Linked DNA regions of Tamandua tetradactyla. The protein of the gene in region 2 purifies or fractionates together with the protein of the main gene of each other region. This does not show direct contact. Links are inferred from orthologs where the notes say so. Each region holds a gene or a part of one and is shown on either strand. Other genes may lie near its edges. The genes, in order: MAP2K2 and KSR2.

What was found.
Region 1: the proteins of KSR2 (region 2) and MAP2K2 purify together in Homo sapiens (affinity purification with mass spectrometry; 3 studies listed by BioGRID and IntAct, with this or other methods). This does not show direct contact. The link is inferred for Tamandua tetradactyla from reciprocal best matches to the Homo sapiens genes KSR2 and MAP2K2.

What each region holds. Positions count from the first base shown.
Region 1 is NC_135337.1:77,913,185-77,923,994, reverse strand, and holds the start of MAP2K2 (dual specificity mitogen-activated protein kinase kinase 2), read right to left. Parts: upstream 5,156-10,810; 5' UTR 5,091-5,155; coding exon 4,999-5,090; intron 858-4,998; coding exon 647-857; intron 1-646. UniProt on the Homo sapiens protein: Catalyzes the concomitant phosphorylation of a threonine and a tyrosine residue in a Thr-Glu-Tyr sequence located in MAP kinases. Activates the ERK1 and ERK2 MAP kinases.
Region 2 is NC_135331.1:18,273,155-18,284,575, forward strand, and holds the start of KSR2 (kinase suppressor of Ras 2), read right to left. Parts: upstream 5,154-11,421; coding exon 4,974-5,153; intron 1-4,973. UniProt on the Homo sapiens protein: Location-regulated scaffold connecting MEK to RAF. Has very low protein kinase activity and can phosphorylate MAP2K1 at several Ser and Thr residues with very low efficiency (in vitro).

The DNA.
Region 1 (10,810 bases), on a different chromosome or scaffold from region 2:
TTTTAAAGTTTGAAAGAACCCACTTGTGTGAGTGGAACAATCTGTCAATAAGTAGCATACCCGGGAATGGGTCTAGAGGTCACCCTCCTCAAATGGTCACATTCTCATCCTCAGGGCCTCCTACATCTCCCAGGATCACTCCCTCGCTCAGAGAAGAGGCCAAATCCTGGCACAGGGACCCAGAGGATGAGTGGGGCTTGGGACTTCTCAAACTCAGGGTGCACAGAAACCTGGCCCCACCCTTGGACCCCCCCCCCCTGCCCAGCCATCTGGGTCTGCAGGGCCTCCTACCTAAAAGCTGATGCCAGCTTTAAAGGGACTTTGAGAAAACTACTTACTATCTTTTCCTCAAGCCAAGCCACAAACAGCCTGGTAAGCTTGCGGGAATGTGAACTTAAAAGGTTCTCAAAGGCAGAAGTATGCAGCTGAAGGGAAGAGTTGCATCAGGTCAGGGAATATTGCCACATCTTCACCAGAACCCGTGCTCTTTCTCGGGACCCACTGCTGGAGAGAAGGGCCTCAAGCTCAGAAAGGAGAGCTCCAGGTGCCTTTCAAGCCTCTCTCCAATTTATAGGGAGACCCGTCCCCATCACATTCCCTCTACCGGGCAAGGGAACAGAGGCCCGCCCAGTCATCGGCCTCTCACCTTTCTCGCCATGATGAGGCCTGAAGGTCTGTGCTGGACTTTGGTGACCACTCCACCATTGCCGGCACCCAGCTCCGAGATCCTTTCAAAGTCATCATCCTTCAGCTCCCCAACCTTGGCTTTCTGGGTGAGGAAGGCTTCCAACCGCTTCTTCTGCTGCTCGTCTAGTTCAAGTTCCTCTAATTTCTTCTGGAGGTCCACCAGGTTTGCTCTGCAGAGACCCCAAGGGCAAGGGTTAGTAAGGAATGAGCAAGTCACCAAGAGATGGGTCAAGGTGACCCGCGTGGACTGTGGGGCCGATGTGCACCAGGGTTTGTGGCTGGAAGGGTACAGACATGAGCGGAACCCATTCTGCACTCGAAGGGCTGACAATTTAGACAAGAAAGACACCTGCGGGCGGGTACACCCCTGCAGGTACAGGACTGACTGCAACAGAAGGCCAGCTCCTCGGGAATGGAGGGCACAGCCGCAAAGCCTGTTCCCAAGGGACCTCAGGACCTCCAGGACCTCCAGGTTCTTGATCCTGGACTGAGACCCAGGGGTCCTGCATCCTGGTACAATGGCTCCTGACTCATTTAAAAGGAAAGGTGAGACTTGGGAAACGAGTGATGGGCCTGTCTTCCAACAGGCAGAGGGGCAAATTTGGTTCAAATGGCCTCAGGGAGAATGAGAAAACTTCCACGGGTGGAAGACAGAAGTTCCACATCCAAGCATTTAATTTAACAACATTGAGGAGGGAAAAGGCATCAATTGTGCAGGAATGCCAAGGCTTTCCACTCATCAAGACTGCTCTCCTTATATCCAGGAGGTCACTGTAAACATGCACATTCCTGAACCCAGTTCTAAAAAAATAATAGACCCATAGATGACATGCTTGGGGGGTGGGGGAGAGGAGAATAGTTCACCCTTTGTTGGATGATTTAAGGAATTTTCAAAGGAAACTGACCATAAGCTATTTTCACTAATGCCTTGATTTTGAATGAAATCCTGGAGAAAAAAGCAGATCCCTGTAATAGGGAGATAGACTTTAGCTCACTGTCTGGAAGGACAAACCCACTAAGGTCCAAAAGAGTAAGACTGTGAACCATGTGTGTGATTAAAATGTTTTGGTAGCTATGGTCAAAGAAAAACAACTAAACAAAACAGGCAAAATTAATTTTAGGGACATACTTTGTTTAAATCAGCACATCACTATTATCATCCCAGCATATAATCAATGTAAAAAGATTAACGAGTTTCTCCTTTACATGACTTTCTTCCCCCTTACGAAGGCTCTAGAATCTGGGATGGATTTTATGCTGAGATATCAACACACTGTACTTTCAGTGCGTTCCGTGGCCCAGGCCGGTGGACTAGCTGGGGTAGGTCCAAGCAGATTCTAGGGAGAATATGGGGGTACAGTGGGTTCAGACCAGCAGTTCCTGAAGGTTCTGATATGCAATGAACTGTGCCCCCCAAGAAGATATGTTGAGATTTAATTCTCCAGGGCCTCAGAATGGGACCTTATTTGAAAATACAGATGGAACCAGGTGAGTTAAAATGAGTCATACTGGAGTAGGATGGGCCCTTAATCCACCATGACTGGGCTCCCTATAAGAAGGGGAAAAGGCCACGGATGACAGACCACCGTGAACTGCCAGTAGGCCACCGCCAGAAGCCAGGGAGGAGGCACGGAAGAGATTCTTCCCCACAGGCTTCCTAGGGAGCAACTGGGAGAAGACATAATTCCGTTATGTTTTAAGGCCCAAGTTTGGGTTGCTCTATACAGCAGCCTGAGGAGACTAGGGCAATGTTTAAGCCCAGGTTGAATGCCCACCTGTGGGAGATGCCATAAAGGGGATTCAAGGAGGGGACAGAAGGGTGGATAGATGTGATTCACCTTTGGGAACCTTCCCATCCTGAAGTCCAACCATTACGTACAACTTAAGGAGGCGGGAGCACAGTACCTTGGGGGTTGGGGTGGGCAAATCTGCGACTCAACCCTGGGAGGAGTCATTTGAGCTACTGCAGCAAAGAGCTTTCTAGGAGGCCTGTGGCTAGCTGGGTACCCCTTTTCAAGCATGTACTAACATGCCAGGAGCTGTGGGCTTTGTGAAGACCAACTTGTCCTGGGAGGCAAGGGCCCATAGAGGCTCAGGAGCTTACCTGAGGCCATGGCCCTTAGAAGTGGCAGTGCCTGAAATGAACCTATGGCATTCCGGCTCCCACCCATGATCCCTGCCCGAGTCTGTAATGCCCTGGGCCAGGACTGGACGACCTGGTAGGAGCCTGCTGAATGCCTGTCAATCAAGACCTGGAGCAGAGAGTCCCAAGAAGGTCTCTCTGATAGAGGCCAGAGGGCAGACAAAGGAATGAATACATGTGGCACAGTTCACCGGGGACTTGCAGCCAGTGACAGGATCAAGAGCCAGCTTTGAGGCCAGAACCGGGAAGGCTCCTGAATCGGCCCCCTGACATCCAAAATGCCTCCCGGAGTCAGCGGATGAATCCATTTGAAATTGAATGGCAACTCCACTGAGGTTATCAAAAACCCTGGAATTTCAAGGGCTGGCCATCTGGGTTGGGGGAGTTTTTGATGGGATAGAAATCGGAAGCCTTGGAAAAGAAAGCACTCTCTTGGGAAGAATTAAGAAGCAGGTCTCTAAGTAGAACGCTGGTGCTGGTGAACGGTGTGAGCAGACATGCACACACCCACTGGAAGGCCCAGGTGGGATGGGAACACACACCTTGCCCTCACACCTGGACCTACAACAACTGCGGTCCGCTCCAGCAGGAACAGGAATGGGGAGGTCTAGGGGTGTGGCCTGGGGCTAAGCACTTCCAGGCCCCTGGCTTTTGCCATTACGTGCCACCCAACCTTCTACATCACTCCTTGTCCCGGATTTCCATGCTTCCCTCTCCCCCCGCCCACACACTGCACAACTGCCACCTTGGAACCCCACTGCCCCTGGGCTGCTCCTCTTCAGGACCCTGTCCCTGGCTTTGTGGAAATCCACCCACTCACCCCCAGTTCTCACACCCCCAGCTCCCTTAGTTGCCCCCCCCCCCCGCCCTTCACTTCAGAATCTCAGCTCCCAGCGGGTTCTCCCACCTCTTTCCTCAACCCCTCCCCATTCTCCCCATACTCCCTGCCCTTCTGGGGCACATGCCCCTCCCTTCCTCAGAGAACCCCCCCCCCCATCCACCCCACCTCCGCCTCCCAGAGGTCTAATTCCTCCCTAAGCAGTATCTTCTCCTTCACTGTCTCAGGTTCTTCACCTGGAGACCCCTCAGGCTCCCCATCCATCTGACCCCTCCCCAGTCCTGACCCTCTGAGGCTCTTGACCTCAACATGACCCCTCAGGTCTCCCTCCCTCTTGATTTCCCAGGACCTACCCCCCACCTCTAAAGGACCCCTCCCCCATCCTGACCTCTCAGGCTTGCTCCTTCCTGACTCCCTTGGGACCCCCCCACCCACCCTGAACTACTGAACCTCACCCTCCCCATCCTGACTCCTCTGGGTCCTCTTCCTCATCCAGACTCCTTGGGGACCCTTGCCCAAGCCTGGCTTCTCAGGGGTCCCCTTCCCTCTGTCCCCTCCCTGCAGTGAATCCACTGGAGTCCCTTAGGACCTCCCACCCTGTCCTTCCCCCACGATCCCTCACCCCTCCCTCACCTCACTACTCACAGACTCCCTTCATTCCACCCGGACCCACAGGGGGCCCCCCTTCCCAAGACCCCTCAACCCATCCTCACCGCTCAGGAATGCCCCTCAGCTCCTCCTCCCCACCAAGATCCTTCACCCTGACCTTAATACTCAGGGACCCCCTCACCTCTTCTTTTCCCCACACGGACCCCCCACTGTCCCATTTCACTACTCAGGGACACCCTCACCCCATCATCTTCCCTCAGGAAGCCCCTCACACCACTCTCAATACCCCATCTTTTCTCCACAAGGTCTTCCCCTCATCTCATCTTCCCACAAGGACTCCCTCCAGCCCAACCTCACAACTTTTCTCCCTGCAGGGACTCCCCTCAGGCCGATCTCACTACTCGGGGAACCCCCCTCCCCATCTTCTCCCCACAGAGACCTTCACTACTCAGGAAACTCCCACCTTGTCTTCCTCCTGCAGCAATCCCCTTTACTCCGATCTCGCTACTCGGGGACCCCCCTACCTCGTCTTCACCAGGCAGGGACCCCCTTTAAGCCAATTTCACTACTCGCCCCCCCCCCCCCCGTATTCTCCTCGCAGGGACCTCTTTTACCCCGACTTCGTTATTTGGGGTCCCCCCACCCCGTCTTCTCAGCGCAGGGACCGCCCCTCACCCCATCCTCTCCCGCAGGGTGCACCCCCGCCCCGCCCACCACTCACTCGGAGGCGCCCTCGCTGGTGGGGGACGGGCCCTCGGCGATGGCGGGGTTGATGGTGAGCGCCGGCAGCACCGGCTTCCTCCGGGCCAGCATTGGGGCTCCGCGGGCCGGGGGCGGCGGCGCCTCTAGCCGGGGCCCATAGGGGGCGGGCCGGGAGCGGGCGGTGCCGACGCGAGCCCGGGGCTGGGGCTGGGGCTGCGGCTGCGGCTGCGGCTGCGGCCTAGGCCGGCGCCGAAGCAGCCGAGGGTGAGCGGCGCTGCGGACCGAGGCCGAAAGGGCGCTGGGGCTGAGGCCTAGGAGCCGCCGCCACCGCGGAGGCCAGACCGAGGCTGACGCTGCAGCGGGACCCGGGAGGCCGAGGGCGGGGAAGGGGAGGGACGAGATCGCGAGCGACGTCTCGCGAGAGCGAATCCCGACCGGCGCGCCGGATCCCGCCCCGCAGCTGCCGCGCGTGCGCACCAATCCGAGACCGCCCGCTTCGAGGGGAAGGGGGCAGAGAGATCTACGCGAGGCACTGCCGAGAGCATGCGCTCTCGCTCGTCTCCCACAGGGTGTGTGCGCATGCGCCCGGGTCGCCGGGCCTTGGAGAGTTGGAGGGGAGGGAAGGGGTGGGGTGAGATGGGGTGGGGCGAGGGTGGTTGGAGCGCCTAGAGTAGGGGGAGGTAGCTGTGGAGGGGATGAGCTCGGAGGAGTGGGGTGGAGACGGGTCTGACCGTTTATAGCCTCGTAGATATCCCAGACTGGGCATATGTGAATCTGTAAAATTGCAAAAAGTTGTGAAGACCGGCCCGGATTCGATTTATCCTTTTTCACATTTTCTGTGTTCTACACTCATCCACCATTACCAGCACCGCCGCCTCTAATGCCAATTATTCCCGTTCTTTCCTGAGAGAAGGGTCATTTTAATCCCTCCAAAGTCGAGAAGCGCGTGGCCTGGAATACAAGACAGTCATTTAAATGGGGGGGGGGGAATTGACCTCATGAAAGTCTCACCCCTTGTTTTCTTGGTATTGGATCTCTGAGCACCTGTGTACATTTCGTAGGTGTGCACATTTGGGAGGCACGTGGAAAGCGAGGCCGGCTCAGATGACACCCTCCAAGGTCCAGGCCCCCAATCTCCCATGGCTCAGTCCTGCCCACTTCGAATTAGCCTCCCCTCCATCTTTTTTTTCTTTTTTTAGGTTACTTTCTTGCTTTTTATGTGTCAGGTCCTGTGCTGGACACCAGAGATACAGTGTCAAAAATAGTAAGAACACCTAGAGCAATATAAGATTCTGGGAAGGTTCCATGCATGTAGTTTCCAAGCATGTAGGTTTCCAGAAACCTACAACCTCCAGATGGGTCCCTGGTCCAGATAACTCCTGAAATTAGAGGGCCCAGCCTCTCCAGAACATCAGCTAGTTCCATCCCCCTACCCCATATTACTGACAACCCCTTCCAACGTGAAAATGTTAGAATGGGCATAGCCCAAATACCCCTAAAGAGCGGGGGAAAGATAGAAGGTGATGGTGGAGTTATAAAGAGAAGGTGGGGTTTAACAAAGCAGTATGAGTGCTGAATCATTATATTGACATTTCTTTTAGTCTCTAGTATTTTAGAGCAGCTAGAAGTAAAAACCTAAAAGTGTGGAATTGTAATCCATACCAAACTCTGAAATCTGTTCTACAATTAATTGTTGTGCTGTGCTTTGAAATTTATTCCTTTCATGTATATATATTATTTTTCACGAAAAAAAAAGTTGATTTTGATGATAACAACAACAAAAAATGCATAAGATAAGCATACATTGTGGCAAAATGTCATTTGCACAGTTGTGGTCTTCCCCGAATTAAATCTGCTTCCCCCTAAGTCTGCTCTGCACCTTTAGAATAGAACCTTTTCAGCTTTGTCCTTCACTGTTCCCAAAAACCCACAATTCAGGCCTCAAATAATGCCATGTCCTTTCACAGCACTGGGTGTTTCCTTGTGTCCTGCCCAGCAATCATTCCCTTCTTTTATTATATTTGTTTTGTTTCAATTTTGGCTACATGTAGTCTTTTTTTTTCTAATTTTTAAAAATTTTTATTGAGCTACCAATTACATTTAATAAACATGGGGTTCTCAAATGTTCAATTCATTGAATTTTTACAATTGAACACATCTACGTAACCATCCCCTGAAATGAGACAGGCAGTACAATATTTCCATCACTCCAGAAAGTTTTCTCTGTGCCCTCTCCAACTTCACCACCACCCCCACCCCATCTCGTTTTTCAAACAAGAAAAAAAACGGGAGACTGATTTATAGCATTTGCCAGTTTCCACGGTGGAAATACTCCCACCTTGGATGATTTCCAGCTACCCTGAAGGCAGAAAGATGTGCTAACAGTAGGAGAAGTTTTTGCTTTTTTTAATGCAATTTTATTGAGATACAGTCACACACCATAGAAACCATCCAAAATATACAATCACTGGCTCCCAGTAGCATCACATAGTTGCACATACATCCCCATGATAATTTTTAGAACATTTTCATTACTCCAGAAAAGAAATAAAAATAAAACCCAAATCCTCCCAGCCCATACTCCTTATCCCCTCCCCCATCATTGACCCATAGTTTTGGTGTGGCACATTTTTTACTATTGATGGAAGAAAACCCCGCAATTGTTGAGCTATAACCCATGCCAAACTTTGAAATCCATTCTATAACTACTTGTTAACTGTACTTTGTGATTTTTGCATATGTGTTATATTTCACAATAAAAAATGTTAAAAAGGAAGAGTATTAAAATATTACTGTTAAATGTAGTCCATAGTTTGCACTAAGTACATTTCCTCCATATACCCCGCTATTCTAACTCCTTGAAATAATTTCATACATCTGCTGTAGTTCATGACAGAACTCTATATATTTTTACAGTTAATCGCGGAGATTGTCCACCCCAAGATTTACTGTTAGATGAGTAAAACGTGGATTAAAAATAATAAATAATAGGGGGAACAAATGTTAAAACAAATTTAGTAGATTGAAATGCTAGTGATCAATGAAAGGGAGTGGTCAGGGTCTAGAAAAAAAATAGGGGAAACAAAGGCTAAAATACACTGGGTAGATGGAAATACTAGCAGTTAATGAGAAGGAGGGGTAAGGGGTATGGTGTGTATGAGATTTTTCTTTTTATTTCTTTTTCTGAGTTGATGCAAATGTTCTAAGATATGATGGTGGTGATGAATATACAATTATGGGATGATATTGTGAGTTGTGAGTTATTGATTAGATACCAAGAATGGAATGATCATATGGTAAGAATGTTCATGTTTGTATGTTGTCATATTTTTTTTAAAAATCTAAAAAAAAAAAAGATTCCCTATTATGCATTCCCATATTTTCACCTCCAGCTTTGCTTCTGGTGATATATATGACTCTAAACTTCCCCCTTCTGGGTGGGGCCACGGTGGCTTAACATACAGAGTTCTTTCCTGCCATGATGGAGACCTGGGTTCAATTCCTGGTGCCTGCCCATGCAAAAAAAGAAAAAAAACCACTTTCCCTCTCCCAACCGCATTCAGCCCTATTCAGTGTTCTCACGATAACCTGCTACTGTCACAACATTTTGTTGTGTTACTAGTAAGTTCAACCTAATTAAACATTTTTCACATGTTAAGCAACCATGCCCCATTCTTAGGCAGTGGGATAAATTGTGCCTGTCCCTAGAGTTTCATATAGATGGAATTGTATCAGAATGAACTCTTCTATGTCTGGCTTGTTTTACTTAGCGCAACATCCGTGAGCTCACGCACGAGGTAGCACGCCACCGTAATTTGTTCTTTGCTCTTGCTGCACAGTCGTCCCTTGTACCTACTTTGGGACTTGCCCTCGCAATGGAATAGTGGGATTTTGTCCTCTTCTTGAGGACAGAAAGTGAACAGGATTTTCAACCTCGGATCCCCTGAGTTGGTTGCTTGTCCCAGCTTCCTAGAATTCCCAAGGCATAGATCTGTCGCTGGCTTATAGATAGCGCCTGTTGCATTGACACAGGTTCTAATTGTTTGTCTTTTTTAGGTTCTCATTCTTTTAGTGTGCTTTCCTTTCTACTTACTGAACTTTCTGAGGGCAAGGAAGATGCCGGAACTTGTTTCCTCTTTTCCCAGTCCAACTTCTTGGATATGTTTTATGCATGATATATATATGCTGCAAGGATGAATTAAATACATGTGCTCATCCTAGGTTCTCTGCGCTTGTTATAAAACATTCACTTCTACAGCTCATGAGGTTACAGGGCAGATTTACAACCTCCACCCACTTTCTATCTTTATCACCAAGCGTGTTTTCTTACCTAACCTCTCCCTGGTGGTACATATATTTCCATTTATCGCTGGTTCCAATCACATCTTTCTTAGTACATCTGTTCTCTGATGTACTACAGATTTGGGTGTCTTCTTGGCTCCACCCCACCCCCACCCCACCGCCCCAGGAAATAAATTCCTAATAGCTTTGTTGATAGATTCCACTCAAGGTGACCTTTATCTTGTTTAGGCACAGTCTAAACAAGATAATATTAATATCACATCTGTACACTGTTCCTATCTCAAAATGCACCCTGAACTTTATCTCCCACTCTCACCTGCGGGATGGATTAACTGAAAGAATGGCTGACCCCACAGCTTTGAGAAGCAATCTATCTTAATTGCTATGACGCAGCAATTCTACTTCTAGGCACATTCTAGGCAGTACACTAGAGACACGTTCAGTAGGGTCCCCAATGGCAAAAATCCAGAACCCCCGCGGTTCCATTGATGGGAGAATGGAAAAATACATTTGGGATTGTCTAAAAGGTGATATTATGCAGCAGAAAACTTACAAACGATAACTCGGAAAAGTCTTAGAAGCATAATGTTGTTTGGAGAAAAGCAAGGTACAAAAGATCTCCTGACACCATTTTTATAAAATTAAAATGGCTCAACTTCATTAGCCATTAGGGAGATGCAAGTTAAAACCATGATGAGCTACTACCTATTAGACTGGTTAAAATTTAAATTCCGACAATACCAAGTGCTATCAAGGATGCAGAGTGACCGGAACACGCAGACATGCCTGGTGGGTTACACAATGGTACAGCCCCTCTGGAAATCTGGAAAACAGCTTGGTAGTTTCTTAAAAAGTTAAACATACACAACTCAGCAAGGACATTCCGAGGTATCTACCCGAGATGCCTCATGTATCGCACAGAAGTCTGAACGTGAATATATATAGAAGCTTTATTTGTCATCGCCCCAAACTGGAAACAGCCCAAATGTCCTTCCACGGGTGAACAGATAAACAAATCATGGAACGCTGCACAGTGGAATATTACTCAGCTATACACAAGGATAAACTACTGATATACTTATTTGCATGAGTCTCAAAGGCATGCCAACTGAAAGATGGCAGTCTCAGAAAGTTATGTTCTGCTTGATTCCATTTACGGGGCATTCTTAAAATGCCAAAAGTACAGAGATGGAGAACAGATCAGTGATTGCCAGGACTTGGAAGTGGGGGTGGGGGGGACAGTACAACTATAAAAAGGTAGCATAAGGCAGTTCCTTTGTGGTGACAAAATGTGCCTGTATCCTGTTTGCAGTGATTAGATGACTCTACACGTGTGATAAAATTTCATAGAACTGTGCACACATCAAAAAGAATGAGGGCACATAACGGCTGAAATCTGAGCAGTCTCTGGTTTAGCTCACAGTAGAGTACCCATGTAAGTTTTCTGGTTTATAATAGCGTTCTCCGGTTACATAAGATGTTATCATTGGGGGGAAGTTGGGGGGAAGGGTACACGGGAATTCTCTGTG
Region 2 (11,421 bases):
CCCTCCCAGCCAATCCTGATTCACAGAGAGGCTGAAAGATAATACATTTCCTCAAGCCCAGACTTTCCCGAACTAAAGTAAGTTTGGGGGTACAGCAAGAGATTGTTGAAAAGGGAACATACAAAAAACAAATAATTGTTATGTGCCTGGCTGCACAGGGAAGTATGGATTAGGAAGGACAAGGAAGTACGGATTCCAAATTTATCCCCACCCTCAATCCCTGATCTTTCCCTCCTCTTACACTAACCCAACTGGTGTCCAGTTTAGAACCAACTGCACTTGGCCAATGCCTTTGACTCCCAGTGTTACTTGCTCGCCTTTTGGATGGTCTCCAGGTCCAGGCCCTCCCAAGTCCCATCCACCCTACAGACCGGAAATCAGCAGGCTGCAGCCTGCAGGCCAAATCTGTCCCACCATTCATTTTTGAAGGCCTAAAGTCTAAGAATAGTTTTTATTTTTTTAAATGTAAAAAAAAAAAAAAAAAACTCAAAAAATATATGATAAATGAAAATAATAGAAAATTCAAATTGCAGGGCCCATTAGCAAAGTTCTGTGGGAAACAGCCACACCCATTCAATGACGCGTTGTCCTTGGATGTTTCTGTTGCACAGCAGCAGAGTCAAGAAGTTGTGCTTGGGAGTATGACCTGGAAGGCCTCAAATATCGACCATCTGGCCCTTTACAGAATAACTTTGCAGGCCCCGGCTGCAGACTACCATCAGACTAAACTCTCAATTGTTTTATTGGATTCACTCTTCCCACCAAGGAATGAAACACTATTGATCTGACCCCTCCACCTTAGACAGATCCTAAGAGTTAGTGGCCTAAATTCATATCCCAGGTAACTCTATCATGCGCCTCCCTTCTGGGCAAGTTGGTCTCGAAGCTGTCGCATGAAGGAATAACAGTGCCTTCATCTAGGTTGTTTTCTAGGGAGCCCCTCTCCTTCCCTTTGCAATCTGAATTCGCCCCATCCTTCCATCCATGCCGAATCCCCATCTCCCCATCCAAGGAGGCTTCTGTAAGTGCTTCGCTCAGTGTTTCCCCAAGTGAATTCCATGGAACACCAATCCCAAGGGATATTCTTGGAAAAAGAAAGCCCAGTAGACTCTACCCTCTCTTGAGATCTCATAATGCATTTATAGCACATTAAAGGCTCTGAGGTGTCCTACAGTAAAGATGCCTATTTCCCTTTGTTTAAGTCAACCTTTCCCAGACTTGATGGACCACAGAACTTGTCTTGTCTATAGAGCACTAGTGGACAGTCAGTACCCATAGCAGCAGCTGAGCATAGCAGATACTCAAAAGTATCCATTGAAAGAATGATAAATGCTAACATCCCAGAATTAGGGTTCCACAGAACACACTCTGGAAAAACTGCCCAAGCTCTTTCTTCTCTCTGTCAACTCTGAACTAATCCCGTCCATGTCATCTATTCCACACCTTATACTAATAATCAGCATAATAATAGCAATCATTGATTCAACAGCTACAAGTGCTGTGCTAAGGACAGTGCCAGACCCTTGAAATGTCATCTCTCTTAATTCTCACAACCACCCACTCAGGTAGGTACGGTTATCCTGTTGATGTCATTTGGTCAATAATAAAATTATGAGTCAGAAAATTTAAATCACTAGCCCACGATAAAATAAGTAGAAGAGCCAAAACAAAATGCTATCAGTCTTGCTCTAAAGCTCATGAACTTTCTTCTCTGCTGCACTATCTCCTAATAACACCCTGTGGGGCCCACATTCCTAGATATTCACTTGTGATCTCCTTACGGCTTTTCCATGCTAACAGAACCCCGATCTTGGGCGGGGTGGCAACAGGTAAACCCAGGCAGTGGCCCATGACCAATCCGTGCCAATCACAGCGGTGTTTCCACGTTCCCATCTCCTAGCCTCCTTTGCAACTAGGAGTAGCCATTTGACCACTGCTGGACAAGAAGACATAATCAAATGTCATCTGTCACGTAGAGAGAAGAGATGTCCTGCGAGAGGACTCTTTATTTGAACGCTTTCATTCCTTCACACTTACACATTTCTTCTCCTTTCTGCCTTGAACCAGACTTGATGATGGCTGAAGCTGCAGGAACCATCTTGCCATCTAACGCAAAGTCCGTGAGAATTCACAAAGGCATCAAGCCCTGATGTCGCTGCCCTACTGAGCAAAGTCAAGCAACCTCAGACCTCCAGAAGTCTTGTTACATAAGAAAAAATAAGCCATTATTGATCTCACAGCTGTGGTGGGGTTTTCCATTTCATGCAGCCCAACACATTCCTAGTTGATCCACAAACCGTCCTCCATATTATTTACTGTTCAGGCTTTATCATTTATTATCAAATTTTATTAATTATCATATATTATTGACTCCCTAACTTTGAAGTATGCTCCTTGAAGGCTAAGCCCATGCTGTATATTTTTGTTCCTTTAGGAAAATATGCATATTGCCAAATTGTGCTTAATGTTACGTTTTCAGGGATGGTTTATTCCATTTAATACTTACTTTAGTGTTTGTAAACAGGGAGGTGTCACCATTAAATAGATGAAATAGCCTGATTCTCTCCCACTGGATTAATAGTGCTCAAAGTGTCTATATGCAAACATGCATCAAAAACTGTAACCCATACAAAACTCTGAAATCTGTTCTATAACTAATGGTTGCGGTATGCTTTGAAATTTTTTGCTTTTTTTGTATATATGTTATTTTTCACAATAAAAAAAATGTTACAGCCCCCCACACAGACTGTTTATTAAATGTAGATTCCTAGGCCCCGGCCCCAGTCCCAACCAATAAGAGCTGAGTATCTGAATTTTAATGAGCTCCTCCGGTGATTTTGACATATAAAATGAGCCCAGCTGGGACAGAAACCCCTGTGGATTCAAAGCCAACGTAAGATTTGACAAGATTTGGAAGGGCCTTGAGTTACCAGCCCCTCCTTGCTGGCCGAACCCTAGCCCTCGAGATCTGGGAAGCCTAAATCGGCACAACTGCTAATGCCCCTTGCCTGGCAATGTGGGTGAAGTGGTTGGCATGCTCCGTGGCATACTGAGGCTAAGAAACTAACACAGAGATGCATTCCCCATTGTTACCAGGAACCCCTACCATACCCATGCCTCCCTCTCCCAGTCTGAAAAGACACATGAAGCAGAAAAGAAGAAACGAAACCCAGTGCCCACTGCAACGAACAGTACTTTCTAGGAGTTTTTGAAGGATGGCATGCGTTGAAAAGAGAAAAGGGAAAACTCTGGAGAAACTTACACAGTATGACACAAGCTGGCATCTGGGACTCCTGACTCACTGGAACAGAAGAGATACCTCAAGCTGGCCCTTTTGAGTTATTTACTTATTTACTGAGGGCACTTGAACGGAATTTGATCTTGAGCACTGTCCAGACAGAGACAGAAGGCAGGGTCCGAGCTTCCCACACTTTTTCTTCCAGCAGCAGAGTCCTAGCCCACATTGCTTTCCCCAGCACCGAGAAAAGCAATACCTGTACCTGCCAACGAAATTCCCACCACTTGACATTTATCTTTCACTCCTGAGGATCGTCTCACATGACAGGTGCACCTATAAACGCACCTAGGGCAGCAAACAGCCTATTAAAACACACACGCACTAACCGCTCTTTCAAACAGATAACCTTCCCGCATGCTGACATCCACCCAGATTTTAAAAGCATAGAAGGAAACGGAAGACCCGAAAAGGAAACAGAGAACTGCTCATCCACGCTAGCAGAGGGGCCCGAGGGCTAAGAGATCTACTGAGCACTGAAGAGTTCAGGCCTTAGAAACTCATGAGCCCAAAATGAAGGGTGAACCTCCCAGCACAGCGCACGCCCACTCCACCAAAGGAAGAGCCCTTTTGGTTTGCTCCCAGCCCCATTGCCATCGCCTTCTGCAATTGCCAGCTCATGGGAGTTTCAAAATTCAATCAAGCCATGTGTCCAGCTGGTGCAGGTTTGAGGGAGTGGAGTAGTCGGCCCCTCCAGACATTTACAACACGGGAATGCCCACTGATGCATGGACTGCAAGACTTTTCATCCCTCTTGCAACCTTCCTCCAGTGCCCAAATGGCCTTCTGAAGAAATCATTTCTGCCATCTTCCGAGTTAACTTTGTATCCACTTCTGTCTCCTTTCTTCCAAAAAACTGCTTCAAACTCCCCAGTAAGTTCCCTGGGAGAGACTCTCTTACAACACCCCAACATAACTCCTCCTCCCGACCAGCCCTTCCAGGACCCACAGAGTTGAGAGGCTCTTCCCACACCACCTGTGTGTGCAGATCCAGGCTTATTTTTTTTTTCTTTTCACACATTTTAGGGCTGCAACAGCTCAGTGCATCAAAATGATTGGATTGGAAACGGACAGCTCAATGGGGGTTCCCCCCACCCCCGGCAGGTTTCCTCCTGACATGTCCATGATTGAAAAACCGAAATCCAAGGAGCAGAAGGGGAAGGGGGGATGCGAAAGAGGCCGGGAGAAGAAGAAGTCTCTATTTATAGGCAGCCCCCTCTCACCAGCCCCAAACCACCTTTTGCCCACCTGCAGAATGGCAGGGTCATGTGGGCTCTCTGCGGATCCCCAGCGTGTCACCCAGCACCCAGGCCCCCGCGGCATATAAACAAATCCACAAGCGGAAAAGAAAGAGAGAGAGAGAGAGAGAGAGAAAGAAACTCCCTCCCCGGGAGCTGATAACGACAACGGCAGCAATGATAATAATAAATAAAGAATAACGCTACTACTACTACCACCGGCACCCAGCCCAGCGTAGACGCGCAGCGGCACAGCTCAGGCACAGCCAGTGCGGGCTCTGCAAGAGAATAAATCACAGAAAACGGAATCCTGTCCACCTTACTGCCTTCTCCCCCTCCCCAAGCCCCCCACAAACAATCAGAGGGGAAACGGATGGTTGGGGGGGGTGGGAAGGGGAGGGAAGGAAGGATTGCTTTTTACCCCCCGTAGGCACACCTACCTCCAGGGTCCGGATCTCTTTTTGTGTGAGGTCGTTGGAGGTAGCGCATTTGGTCCTGAGCCCCTCCAGGTTGGATATGCTGAGATCTATCATGTTTTGGACCAACTCGCACTGCTGTAAGGCTTTTTGCAAACTCAGAGGCTGCTGCTCCTCGCTTTTCGTCATGTTTTCCCCATCCATCGCTTGCTCTGCAACCCCCCTTCCCCTCCTCCTCCTCCTCCCAGAGAGAAAAAAGGGGGGCTGGGGGGGTGGAGGTAGTCTACCCCCGCCGCCTCTCCAACCACCGCGACTTCTCAATGTCTCATAAAGAAGAAACCCAACATCTCACACAGGGTTGGGGGGCGGGGGCGGGAGGAGGGGACAGGAGCCAAAATTTATTATTTTATTTTGGGGTATCAGGCAGACTCCATTAGAATGTCTCCTCTCTCTGAGTCTCTGGTCCCTGAAAAGGAGAGATGCTGTTTCTCAGAAGCAAACCAGGTGATGTGATGCTGTCTGTGCACTTAGGGGGGAGGAGGAGGAGGAGGCAAAAGAGGAGGAGGAGGAGGTGGAGGAGGAGGGAGAGACCGAGGAGGAGGAGGAGGAGGGAGAGGAGGAGGAAAAGGAAAATAGCGCTCACTCTTTACACACCGGCTCCGTGAAGGACAAAATAATATATTTTTGGCTGGCTGGCTTTTTATGTTAAAAAAAAAAAAACACTAAAAAAAAAACCTGGTTTTTCCCCCCTCCCAGCTGCAGTGACATGGCATTGTCCACCGTTTGGGGTGCTTTAGGGCGATCTCAAGACGCTGCCCGCACTGCTCCCGCGGCTGCGGCGCCCACTGCGGCTGCTGCTGCCTCCTCCGCGCGCTGCTGCTGCTGCCGCGGCCGCCGGGCTCCGGGGGGGACGGCTGCTGCGCTCGCTCCGGCCTCGCTCCACACCGACATCTTGCCTGTCAATCAAGGGCTGGGGGGAGCGGGGGAGCGCGGGCGAGGGATGGAGAGCCGGCGAGGGACCTGCAGGGGAGCGGGTTGGTGGAGAGGCGCCGTGCGCGCGTCCGCCCCAGCCGGGCCCCGGCCCCCGCGCGCCAGGGACCCGCTGCTGGAGGCGGAGGAGGAGCGCGCGAGCTCGCGCACCTGGTCGGGGGGGGGCGGCGGGGGAAGGGAGCGCTCCTGGCGGGGCGGGGCCGGGGGCGGGGACGAGTGGGAGGTGGGGGCAGTGGGAGGAGAGCAGGGGGCGGGTCCTCTGGGGGCCGCGGCGCGCGCGTGGCAAAGTGAGCTGACCCCCGGGCGTGCGTGTTTGCGAGCCGGCGGGCGGCGGCCGGCGGGCGGGGACGTGGGAGCGAGCTCGCACGTCCGGCCGAGGCTGCCCCCGGGGCGGTGGAGATCGCAGGGAGAGTGCGAGAGCCGGGAGGCTGCCGGAGTGGGGCGGGGAGAGGGAGCCGGCGGGCGGGTGGGGGTGGGAGCCACTACTACGGCCCCGCTCTCGCGAGAGGAGGCCACAGGGCCGCTGAGCAGGTGCGCTCGGGCTGGGAGCAGGTGTGCACCTAAGTTTAACCCTTAGCGCGTGCTGGAGAAATGTCAGCGTGAACCTGGGCACGTACTCCCTGCCTTTCTGGCTCAGTGTGTGCGTGTGCCTGACTGTTTGCTCGTTTGTCCTTTCGTATTGACTAGGGAATAATAAAAAAAACAAACTTGATGATCGTCCATGAACTGTAGGAAGCTGCCTCCCAGAACTGGTTCTCTGGCCAGCAGTTACCCTGGCTGGTGGATGTCCGCTTAAAGAGGAAATAGGGGCTTTGCCTTATTCTCATTGTTAGCATGTCCTAAAAGGGTCTACATGATCTGACCCCCAGCCTACTTAATCGACCGTCTATCCCACCCCCCTCTAAATACACACATACACACCTTTCTTTCCTTCTGTTTCTCTAAATAATGGGTCAGCAAGCTATGACCCCAGGCTGGGAATGATTTTAACATTTTTAAATGGCTGGGAAAAAATCATATTTTGTTGACAATTGACAATCATACAAAACTCACATTTCAGTATCCATAAATAAAGTTTTTATTGGAACCAGTCATCACTTATTTATATATTGTCTATCTTTGCTTTGGAGCTATATAAACCAGAGTTGAGTAGGTGCAATGGAAAACATATAGCCGGCAAATCTAAACTGTTTACTCTCTGGCCCTTGACAGAAAAAGTTTGACAATCCCTGCTCTAAATCACCAAACTTACTCTTGCACTAGGGTTCTCTCCCCTGTGGCTGGATAGAACTTTCCTTATCTTCTCATGGCTAACCCCTTCTTGTCAGCCAAACTCAACTCAAGTGCCATCTCAGAGATGCTTCATCTCCCGGACCACCTTATCACATAGTACTCCCAACACGCACTGCCAGAAGAATGTATTTATGATGAATAGCTCCTCTTTTTCCAGGTGTGCAGAGCCCCATATGAGGGAGCTGGGCCTATTGGACAGAGTGAGACTCAGAATACACGGTACAGTATGTCTCCCCTAAAGGAGGTCACCTGAGAAGTAGAGAAAATAGCCAGTGATGGCCAACTTGGACAGCAAACTTCTTTTCCCCCTTAGATGGTGAGCCATGGGGTTTTATTGGCTCATACAGAGCTGAACGGCCTTTTCAAAATCTTTCTGTAAATGAGGGACTCAAATGAGTTTTCTAGGCTCTCAGTCTTTTGGACTAGGGAGTGTAAGGGTTTCATTTCTCTGGGGAAGTTCTCTTTCATATTCATCATGAGCATTTTAAAGCCCTAATGTCCAGTTCACCTGTGGGTCTAGTTCAATGGACTATTTTTCTCTTTGTTTTCAGTAACTTGGGCCTGTCCCTTGTCAAGCCTTGTGAGTTTAATTTAATGTCAGATATTGTGTATGAAAAAAACAGAGGATCCTGGCAATGTTACCTAACTCTGGAGAGGACTTCTCTGCAAAGCAGATGGCATGGGGACTGATGGCCTTATTCCAATCAGGAGCTGAGATGGGCGGAGACTGGGTTGCAGATTTGGAAGACACCGTCTATGGCTGGCCCCCACATCTAAGGCTTTGCCCCCCGGGGGTTCCAGCTGAGACCGTGGGTGGTCGCCAAGGTTCCCCTCTCCTTGTCTTGTTAGCATGGCGAGACTGCTGAAAGCTCTGCTCTGCTTATCACGGGCTTTGTGTTTGGCCTCATGCCTTGCACAGCTTCAGAATTTCAGGAAAATCACCATGTATAAGGCTCACTCTTTTTTGCACTTCCCTTCTCTCTGGGATATTAGCCTCTTAAGTCCCCAGTTTTTCTCTCCAGCACTGTGAGACTGCCAGGCGTTCTGTTGATTTCTCTGTCTCCCACTTGCCTGGAAAAAGTGTAGACCCTCAGCCTCTTTTTCTATGCCCCAGGGACACTGTAAATACCCCCAGGGAAAAGGTGGCCACAGAATGTCAGCTCACCTCGCCACAGCTCCCTTCTCTCCAGAATCTTGGTGCCTCCGGTCCTGGTTGCTTCAGCAGCTCTCTGATACCTTTAAGCAGATAATGGTGATGATGGTGATGATGGTGATTTGATCTAACTTTTCTGGTGGTTCTCAGAGGACATAGAAGTTTAAACAATGAAAGTAATCCATAGATCAGATGTCCCGACTGGCAGGGCTGTAAGCAGCATACAAAATACATTGTTTGCGCTCATCTTTTTTTTCGATTGGTTAAGACAGGGATCATTTGTTCTGTTTTGCATGTACCCAGCCTCTTTTGGATACTTTTCCGAGGTTGGAAAATACCCCACATTGTGAGTCCCAATTCTCTGTAATAGAAACTGTAGCATTTTCCCAGTGTTCTTGCAACCAGGTCTCATGCTTGTGATCTTAGGCTCTGCCATTAGCAGACTGCATGAGATTTCTTTTGATAACTGAGCAAAAACAGAGGAGGAAACTATCTGACAGTGAGCGTGACAGCCAATGCACCTGCTTACAGGGGTCCAGTCCTCTGTGTTAGCAGAGCATGCTATGGTGCCTGTGCTGGGGGACGGGGCAGCCCCCGCAGTGTGATTGGGACATCCTTCCTGGCTGCATAGCCCAAGCCTGGCTCTTTTGCCCTTCTGGAGATCCTATAGGCTTTCTAAACTTCCCTATAAAAGTATTTATGTTTACACCACCTGGAATAGAGTGTGTCATTTGCATCAAAGAACCCTGGCTTACGTTCTTACCAATAATTCAAAAATCAAGAGATACTGCAAAAATGCAAATTCCAAGCTTTTATCATAAAAATTGGAAATCTGGCTACTTTGGACAACAGTTGGCTAAAGCTAAGAGGCAGCCACCCCTTTCAGACAGGGCACTACTGTCGTCACCCAGTCCTTTTCATTCATCATTTCTGTTTCCTACCTGGCCCCTGCAGGCACTTGTGTTTGGTACCCCTGAATAGCCTAAGGTTTTTTGTTTGTTTGTTTTTTGTTTTGTATGCTGTATGGTGGGGTCACATTTCATTCTTTTTCCATTTGAGTATCCCGTTATTGCAGTTGAATTTTTTCTTTGCTTGTTTTTGTTGGTTTCTTTGTTTGGGAAGTGCATGGTGGGTCCCCCACGTGGCAGGTGAGAATTCTGCCACTGAACTACCCTGCACCCCTAACTTAAGGTGATTTGCACCCCACACTGAAAATCCTACCAATTTCAAGCCTAGAGGGCTGGAGCCAATTGATGACATTTTTGCTGTTGTATTTTATCCTAGAAGTTCATGCTGCTTCTAAAGGACATATGTGTTTCAGTGGCTTTATCGATAGTGGGAATAAATTACTGTCACTGGGTTAATGAATGAACTGAACTGGACGGGGGAACAATGAAGCACTGGCTTTACTTTTTTTTCTCTCACAGCCTTTCCACACTCTAGCCCATTGTCAGATCTCCTTCTCCTGCCCCTTTGCAAGATCTAGGGAGATCTCACAGCTTTTCAGTACTTTCAACTATAACGGTCTAATTTTCAGACATTAAAAGTCCAGTCCAATAAAAACTCCATTCTCATATTCAGTTCAAGAAATATGTCTCTCCCCTACTCAGATCTGATGCTCGGATGGCTCAGGAATCTGCAGTAGAGACAGGGGGTGTTTGTCCTTTCTCTCCACCTCACCAGCTCACCTGAGAACAGGTGAGAACAGGTATCATTTTCTCTTGGGTGTCAAATGTCCACTGATGTCTTGGCAAGTGTCCACCCAGAGTGTCACATAGGGCACACTAGGGGATCTTTGGAGAATCCCATGGGGACCTCTTGGGGACCCAATGCAAATGTCCAAAACCTCTCACACACTGGTTTCCAGTTCATCCCCCAGGCAGCACCACACGTCCTCTTTCTGAGTTCCCTTGCCTGGCAGGCGTCCCTCTTGGGTGAACCTTTTCAAGACTATGCAGACCTAAGTATACTCCTGGTTAGTCATCTGGATATGGGAAACAGGCAGACCTTGGCCCTGCAAAATGGCAAGCACATTCTCTGCTGCCCTCTCTCCTCACCCTGCCAACAGGGACAGCTCCAGGCAGCCTTCAGCAAAGAAGTAAGAGACCAGCCAGCCCCTTTCAAGGTGTTCCCTTGACTTGAGGGTAGGAAGGAGAAGGAAAAACCCCTATCAAGGCCTGTCGACAAAACCTCTTATGGATAAAACCTTGACCTTGTCTTATATAGTTTGGAGCTTGATGGCTTTTGATGGTCAATGGGCCACTCTGGCCCCCCCTTAGCAGAATGAGGAAGTATTGTCCTCCACTGCCCTCACCTGTGAAAACTTTAGCCGAAGTTCTGGGTCAACAGGAAAAGTCTTGTTTTACACCCTGTTATATCAGTGATGGGCCAGCTGTGTTGTTTTCTAAGTTGCACTGGGAATAGGGACAAAATTGGGAAACATCTCATCAAAAGATAAGAGACTATCACTGTTCCTACAACTGAGAAAACCAATGCTGACTTCATCTCGAAGGGCTCTGCGTATTGCTTTCCCAGGGCATTTCTTTTCTCTCTCTTTTCCTTTTTCTTTCTGTTTCTTCAGAAACTAAATAAACAAATCAGAGAATGCTAGTCCCCAGGATACAACCAAATCCCCCATAGCTGTCAGAGAATGCTTATGTTTCTGCTCTAACGCACCGAGTCCCCAAATCTAAAATGCTTTAAAAAAAAATAACTTTGATGAGGACAGGCAGACGGTTCCCATCTTGAACCTTATGAGGTTTTCGCCAACATCAGAAAACAGACTTTTTCGTAGATTTCTTCTCCCTTTGGGCTTTTGCCTCTGTCTCTTAATTTTCCAGTGCAAGCAGCCAGGGTACCCTCTTGATACGTGGGATCATTTGCGCTCATAGTAATGAACAATGTAGACCAGTGATGGGTGCTGGCTTTACAAATGAAGCAGTCACGATATACTGTGAATTTTCAGATACAGCACCCTCAGGAGGGGGCAGGACGGGCGCCGTGGCGCTCTCCCAGGACTTAGAGAAGCAGAGCATT